Stegostoma tigrinum: one gene and its partner. The protein of the gene in region 2 purifies or fractionates together with the protein of the main gene of each other region. This does not show direct contact. Links are inferred from orthologs where the notes say so. Each region holds a gene or a part of one and is shown on either strand. Other genes may lie near its edges. The genes, in order: akt1s1 and mtor.

Region 1 (3,916 bases), on a different chromosome or scaffold from region 2:
CAGCTTGACGCCATCTCAGACAAAGTAGCTCCACTTGACTGGCATCCCATCTACTTCCTTCAACATGCACTCACCCCACCATTGATGTACAGCAACAGCAGTGCATACCGTCTACAAAAAGTGTACTGCAATAACACTCCGGTTCCTTAGGCAGTATCTTCCAAACCCATGACCTTTACCACTAAGAGAAACAAGGGCTGCAAGTACACAGAAACCTGCAAGTTCCCCTCTAAGCCACAGCCCATCCAACCTTGGAACTAGAGCACTGTTACTTCACTGCCACCAAATTAAAATCCTGGAATTCCTTAATGGCCCCAAGGATGCTCTAAACCTCATGATCTGCAATAGTGCAAAACAGCAGCTCCCCACCACCTAATGGGCAAGTAGGGATGGTCAATAAATGCTGACCTAGCCAATGTGCTCAGACTCCATGAACAAAAAGAAAGATTGCATAGTTTGGGAAAACTCCATCTTTAGCAGATCCCAAGTGTTCTACTACCCACAGGTTGCCTTCACAATGGCATAGACCAAGAGCACCTCTTTAGGAGTATATTTACATCGCACTGTCCTTTTGCTATAGCTCTTATAAACCCCTCACGACAACACCATTTACAAAATAAAATGGCTGCACAGTTTGTTTGGCAAGGTTCAAAAGAAGCCAGGAAGTCAAAACGGCTATTCAGAAAACAATAATACCCTTCAGTCTCAAAGGCGTCAACACATTTGGTACAAATCCACAATTCAGAAGTAATTATTAGGTGAGAACTGTAACATAAAAGTTCATCTACATAACCATGCCAAGACAACATTCTTCCAAATACTTAAAGTTCCGAATGCTCATGCCAGCCTTGGCTCTACGGGTGGCCGTGGTTGTGGGTTCAAATCCCAAAATCACAGACTAGAGAACACAGCTTTAGTTAAAACACTATGCAATTGAGAAAATTGCACTGTTGGCGATTGTTGCTATTCAGGAAAATATTGAACAAAGGCCACCAGCTATCCTCTGATGTAAAACTTTCATCACTCAAAAACAAAAGGGGTAAAAATAAGTTCTCTCTGGTGTCTTGATCATTAGTCACCCCTCAACTACCATCCCTAAGACAGATTATCTGTCTACTTGTACATTGTTGTTTCTGGGAACTTGCTGCGCACAAATTGGCTGTACTAGTATGCACATGATCACACAGACATCAAAAGTGGTTCAGTTGAGGATGCACTGAAAGCCACTACAGAAATGCACATTTTTGCTTAACTTCCAGAAAATTATTCAAGATACCAGAAGACCTTGCCTACCACACAGAAGGGCAAGTCTCTTTTACGTTCCCAGAGGAAAGGAGACATGACTTCAGGTTAACACCTTACACAAAACACAAGATTGCACCTCTGATAATAAGCTACTGCCTTAAGGCTGCACTCAAGTATCAGCAGAGGTCTCATGTTCAAGTCAGAATGTTGTAGTGGCTTCTAATTCACACAAGGAGGAGAAATACTTGGAATCATGCATCAGCTTTCAAGGTCTCCCAAAGAACTTTAAAACTAGATGCTATTGAAGCATGGCCATTGCTGTAACACAAGGGAAAACCACAATTAACTTAACAGCAAGCTCTGATATACGCAGTGATCAGATAACCCAGTTGAGGGCTAAACACTGGGCCAGTCATTAGTGATCCTAATGATGTTCAGCATAGTGCCATAGGAGCCATTACAGCTACTTGAAAGAGCAGATAGGGACAGGACTTAACTTAATATTGCATCCAAAAGATCCCTTCCAAAACTGCAGCAGGCCACAGAGCACAACTTCACTGAGGAAAGGCTTGATAAACAAAAATATTCACATTGAGGTAAGTTAGCAGCTCATACTGCAGAAATCTTCAAATGAGTGATGTTGAAAGCAAACCGAATACACACAAATGCAAGAACACAGTACAATGCCAATACAGAACACTAACTCAAGGCTGGTTAAGGATAACGACCTCCTGCAACACACGGTAACAATCCCCACCAACCCCCAAAACCAGTCAGATAGAGCCTTACAATCACCTCTCCCAAGAACCAGAGCACGGTCAGCTAGATCACTCCAAATACCTCGTCAAAAACTACAGCATGAAGTAGCTGATCACTACAAATACAGACACCTCCTGCAAAACCAGAACTCGGTCAGACAGATCCGAACAACACCTCCCCCAAAACCAGAGCATGGTCAGGCAGATTACACACTATAAACAGCCTCAGGTGCAGAAACAAAGCAAACAGCAGCAATGGGAGAAGCGTTGATAGACACCCCCACCCCCCCCAAAAAAACGAAGAGTGAATAAAGGGTCCTGAGGCAGCGTGCAGAGAGTTGTAAGCGTGGACAGCAGGTAGGAGATGAGAAGGGACAAGTAGAGGACGCAAGGAGGGCAGAAGAAGGAAGATTAATTCACAGGAGACCAGCTGAGAGCCCACCAAGCTCCTTACCGGTGTCTCCCTCCAACCTTCCCAGAGCCAGGCCCGCATGCGCACTGCGTCGCCTTCTTATGTCAGCACGTCACCGTCTACGTCCGATGTAAACGCTTTTGAAAAAAACTACCTTTTCTACTTAAGCTCATTGCCCACTAGTATATTGTTTCAGATGCCAAGTGACAACGATCGTGGGCATTTATATTTCAAAAAGGGAACGATTAAAAATTAATCGGTGTCCACGGACATACCCACGCATGCCACGCACAAACATGGCGACCGCCCCGAACAAACATGGCGGGAGTTTGTTTACTCCTTTCCTCGAGAATTTTTAAACATTCTGCGCCGTCAGTGTGCGCTCAACTCCACTCCATCGCGTCAAACTCAACGCCATCCCTCACCTCGAAAGGTGACTTGAAGGGAGCGAGGAGCGACCGCGTGACTGTTCCTGAGTACGGAGGTGGGGGTGAGCCCCGCATTAAGATGGCAGCCGGCCATAGAGCCACGCGCAACAAGTACTAAACTGCAGCTTCGGGGCCTGCAGCGACTGGGAGAACAAAAATACAAAGGGCGTCGAGTGTTCCACCAAAAAACCAGAGGGGAAGAGCATAAGGCTTTGAATCTAAGCACAAGCTCATCCTCCCCCGACAACACACCAGTTCCCCTCACAAAGATGGCGGCCGGGAGGGAGCCTTTTCTATAATTACGATTTTTACGTTGTTGTACCATGTAACATCTGAAAGAAAGAGGCAGAAATCAACCAAAATATTCAATGGATAATATTAGAGGATCCGCGCTTTTAGCGAGGTAGAAGGATAGCTTTGCACAAGATTACTCTCGTTGCTGGCACACTGCACCCTGTTTTTGAGATTAAATCCAGACTTGTCACAATAATTTATTAGCCCCGGGCAACATCCAAGTCATAAGACACTGACGTCAGCCAACGAGCTAAAATATGAGAGATAATAGGAATTGCTAAATATGACACTGAACTTGGAACTTTATTCACAAGCCCGACTCCTAAAGATAGGGCAGTGTTTAAAAAAAAGAGTTGGACAATGAAAACTTGGGATGATGCCATTGGTATCCTGACTAAACCCCTCCTCCTCCTCCCTAATAGTAGGAGAGTCAACTAACAACCAGTAAGAAATAAGCACCATCCGGAAGTGATGCAAGGGGATTTGTTTTGAGACGAGCTGAAATAAAATGATGGGATCATCTACAGAGAGTCACAAGGTAATAACTCATTTCTTATATCCTGTTGTGTAGTACAGTGATGTGGGATGATGTGTCCGTATGTCGAGAATCCTTACACCCTTTAATACAAAGTCATTAGAATGTGGTTTAAGATGTTGCCAGCAACAGAGAGCCACAAGGTAATAAATAGTTCCTAGCTCCTTATAGTACAGTGCATGCAATATGGGATGTGGTTATTTACAGAAGATTGTAAGGTGATATTTTGTTCCTTAAATCCTAC
Region 2 (3,916 bases):
ACACCCCGCCCCTGCCACAACCGTGCCCAGAGGATCCCCCTCATTCTCACATACCACCCCACCAACCAACGTATCATCCTCCGTCACTTCCGCCATCTGCAATCCGACCCCACCACCCAAGCTATTTTTCCATCCACACCCTTATCTGCCTTCCGGAGAGACCACTCTCTCCGCGACTCCTTTGTCCGCTCCACACTCCCCTCCAACCCCACCACACTTGGCACCTTACCCTGCAACCGCAGGAAGTGCTACACTTGCCCCCACACCTCCTCCCTCACCCCTATCCCAGGCCCCAAGATGACCTTCCATATCAAGCAGATGTTCACCTGCACATCTGCCAACGTGGTATATTGTATCCATTGCACCCGGTGTGGCTTCCTCTACATTGGGGAAACCAAGCGGAGGCTTGGGGACCGCTTTGCAGAACACCTCCGCTGGGTTCGCACCCAAAACCAGCCCAGCTCATCCCCTCCCCCCACTGCATCCAAAACCAGCCCAGCCTGTCTCTGTTTCCCTAACCTGTTCTTCCTCTCACCCATCCCTTCCTCCCACCTCAAGCTGCACCTCCATTTCCTACCTACCACTTCATCCCGCCTCCTGGACTGACCAATCCCCTCCCCACCTCCTCACCTATACTCCCCTCTCTACCTATCTTGTGTTCTCTCCATCTTCGGTCCGCATTCCCCTCTCTCCCTATTTATTTCCAGTTCCCTCTCCCCATCCCCCTCCCTGATGAAGGGTCTAGGCCCGAAACGTCAGCTTTTGTGCTCCTGAGATGCTGCTTGGCCTGTTGTGTTCATCCAGCTCCACACTTTGTTATCTTGGATTCTCCAGCATCTGCAGTTCCCATTATCAGTGCCTAATGAATGCCCAGTCTTGAGTTGCTAGATCTGTTTGAAGTCTGTCCCACTTAGCACAATGGCGGTGCCACACAATGTGTTATTCTCAACATGATCGCAGGACTTCGCCTCCCAAAGAACTGTGAGGTGGTCACTCTTACCAATACTGTCACGGGCCAATACATCTGTAGCTGACAGATTGGTAAGCACAAGGTCAAGGCATTTTTCCCCCTCTTGTTGGTTCCGTCACCGCCTGCTGCAGACCCAATCTAGCAGCTACGTCCTTTTGGACCCATCCAACTCAGTCATACTACTGCCAAGCCACTCTTGCAGGTGAACGTTGTGGGTGAGGGGTTTCAGTCAGCTGGATTTTACAACATTTTTTTAATTACCAGGCCAGTGACATGAACACAATGTTGCTGCCTCCCCTCAAATGATCATGTCACCCGCTAACCAATCAAGCCCTCAAAAGGTGACACAGATCAAACAGACCAACAGAAAGTCAAGAAACAATAACTTTTAAGCAGTGTCTAATATAATTGTCCCAAGGCACTTCATAAGAACACCATCCTTTAATTTGCTGCAGTAGGACTTGTAAGGATCTATAAAGGAGCATCATGAAGTAGAGTTACAACAATTCAAAGTATTTATATTGCCAGGAATGCCACTGTCTCTCAATTTTTTTTTCCTTCTACCTTGTTCATCTCACAAATGTAGTTTAACAAAGAGAAAGCTTGTCTCAAAAGAGTCTTATATTTGGCTAAGCAGTCTTTAAATAAGGACAAAAAAGCTATTAGAGATAAGTTTGCAACTTAGAAAATAAATGTTAAAACCAACCAACAGACATGTTCCAAATATATAAAAGATTTTGAAATAACAGGCCTATCGGACTCATTAAAAGTAATAGTATACACCCCTGTTTAAAAAAAAAACACCTTTTCACATTTTTCGCCTCTAATGTGTAAATAGAACACTCAGAATGTCCTCGTGTCTTTATTGAATTATGGTAATGTTTTCTATTTCTGTGAAACAGATGATCTACCATAGGTAACCAAGCTATTTAAAAATCGAAAGAACTGCGAATGCTGTAAATCAGAAACTAAAATAGAAATTGCTGAAAAAGCTCAGCAGGTCTGGCAGCATCTGCGGTGAGAAATCAGAGTTAACGTTTCGGGTCGAGTTCCGAAGAAGGATCACTCGATCCGAAACACTGGGTCTGATTTCTCTCCACCGATGCTGCCAGATCTGCTGAGCTTTTTCTAGCATTTTCTGTTTTTGCAATCAGGCTGCTTGTTGGGGTGTTACGTTCTGTCTAAATGCTGGAGTTTTTTTTCTGAAATGCGTTTCTTTGCTCATCAGTTAGAGATACTGTCTGACAATGAATTATAAATGATAATAAACCCAAAATCTATCAAACTTCAATTCTGGAACATACACCAGAAAACTTACAAATAGCACCGAAAGATATTTTTATAACCTAGCCGCTTGGAATTTTACACTTAAATAATCATAACGGATAACCATCCAAGTATACTTACTCTCTTGTTGTATTACAATAAATAAAGCATAAATTCTTCACTTCAAAGTAAATTGACAATTCTACTCCATATAAGCTGCCATATTGAAAGGAAATAAAATGATCTTCAGGCACAGCGCGCAGGTGATTGACATCTGTGTGAACCAATCAGGTGCGCTACCATGTGCTGGAGGGCGGCTCACCATGACGTTAGTGAAAGCGAGTCGCAGTCATCAATGCGCATGTGGGTGTGCGCGAGGAATTCCGTTACAGTCGCGCGGACCGGTCTCCTCCCACTCTCCAGACGGTTGAGCATTTGCGCATGTGTAGCATGTCGGTTTGAGGTCGTGACTTTCCTGCGATGTGGGCTTGTTGGCAGATGGCGGTTGTCAGCCGGTGATTACTGGAGAGTAGGTGAGACGGGCCGAGGATGAAAGAGAATGGGGAGGCTAAGCAGATGGAAGTGGACGCCGAGTCGAGAATGCAGATCCCCGCTGTGGACAGGGAAGTGGTGCAGGGTCTCGGCAGGAGCTTGAAGCAGAAGTGCGCCGCGTATGTGCTTGCACTGCGGCCCTGGAGCTTCAGCGCCTCGCTTACCCCTGTTGCCCTGGGTACGGCCCTGGCTTACAAGAATCTGGGCGAGCTCGATCTGACCATTTCCCTACTGGCTGCCTTGGCCGTGCTGGCCGTACACGCAGCCGGTAACCTAGTGAACACTTATTACGACTTCAGCAGGGGCATCGATCATAAGAAGAGCGACGACCGGACCCTGGTGGACCGGATCCTAGAGCCACAGGACGTGGTGCGGTTCGGAGCCTGCCTCTACACTCTGGGCTGCCTCTGCGCCTGTTCCCTCTACTTTTTGTGCAAACTCAAACTTGAGCACTTAGCTCTGATCTTTTTCGGTGGCCTATCCAGCTCTTTTCTGTACACGGGAGGTAAGTAAGAAGGAAAAGAAGCAGGATGTTCCCTTATTTCAGTTTAGACCTTTAGCTGGAGACGATTCACTTATTTTGCTCTGAAGAAGAATCGCCAGGCTCGAAGAGATAACTCTGTTTTCGCTCCGCAAATACTACGAGACTTGTTGAATTGCTCTGGCAATTTCTCTTTTTGTCTCAGATTTCCAGCATGAGCAGTTGTTAATTGTAATATTTTGTCGTTGTGTTGTTTTGTTATAGAGTCATGCAGAACAAAAACAGATCCTTCGGTCCAACTTGTGTTGCGTCAACCAAACATCTCAATCTGATTTAGTCCTATTTGCCAGCATTTAGCTCATATCCCTCTAAACTCTTACTCACACACCCATCCAGATGCCTTTTAAATGTTGTAATTGTACCTGCTTTCTCTACTTGCACTGGTAACTCCGCACCACTCTGCGTGAAAAAGTTATGCCTTAGGTACTCTTAACTCTTTCCCCTATCACCTTAAATCTACGCCCTCTAGTTTTGAACTCCCCAACAGTAGGGAAAAGACCCCTCTATCCTCTATCCATCCATTTCTATTAACTCACTTTTGCTGCTTGCTGTTTTGGAAAAATAGTTTTGAAAGTGATACGGCTGGT

The links.
Region 1: the proteins of mtor (region 2) and akt1s1 purify together in Homo sapiens (affinity purification with western blotting; 8 studies listed by BioGRID and IntAct, with this or other methods). This does not show direct contact. The link is inferred for Stegostoma tigrinum from reciprocal best matches to the Homo sapiens genes MTOR and AKT1S1.

Annotation. Positions count from the first base shown.
Region 1 is NC_081391.1:21,800,207-21,804,122, forward strand, and holds the start of akt1s1 (proline-rich AKT1 substrate 1), read right to left. Parts: upstream 2,524-3,916; 5' UTR 2,497-2,523; coding exon 2,458-2,496; intron 812-2,457; exon of another isoform or gene 1-811. Other genes in the region: tbc1d17 (TBC1 domain family member 17), read left to right, coding at 3,777-3,815. UniProt on the Homo sapiens protein: Negative regulator of the mechanistic target of rapamycin complex 1 (mTORC1), an evolutionarily conserved central nutrient sensor that stimulates anabolic reactions and macromolecule biosynthesis to promote cellular biomass generation and growth.
Region 2 is NC_081381.1:39,048,806-39,052,721, reverse strand, and holds the start of mtor (serine/threonine-protein kinase mTOR), read right to left. Parts: upstream 2,478-3,916; 5' UTR 2,378-2,477; intron 1-2,377. Other genes in the region: ubiad1 (ubiA prenyltransferase domain-containing protein 1), read left to right, coding at 2,786-3,293. UniProt on the Homo sapiens protein: Serine/threonine protein kinase which is a central regulator of cellular metabolism, growth and survival in response to hormones, growth factors, nutrients, energy and stress signals.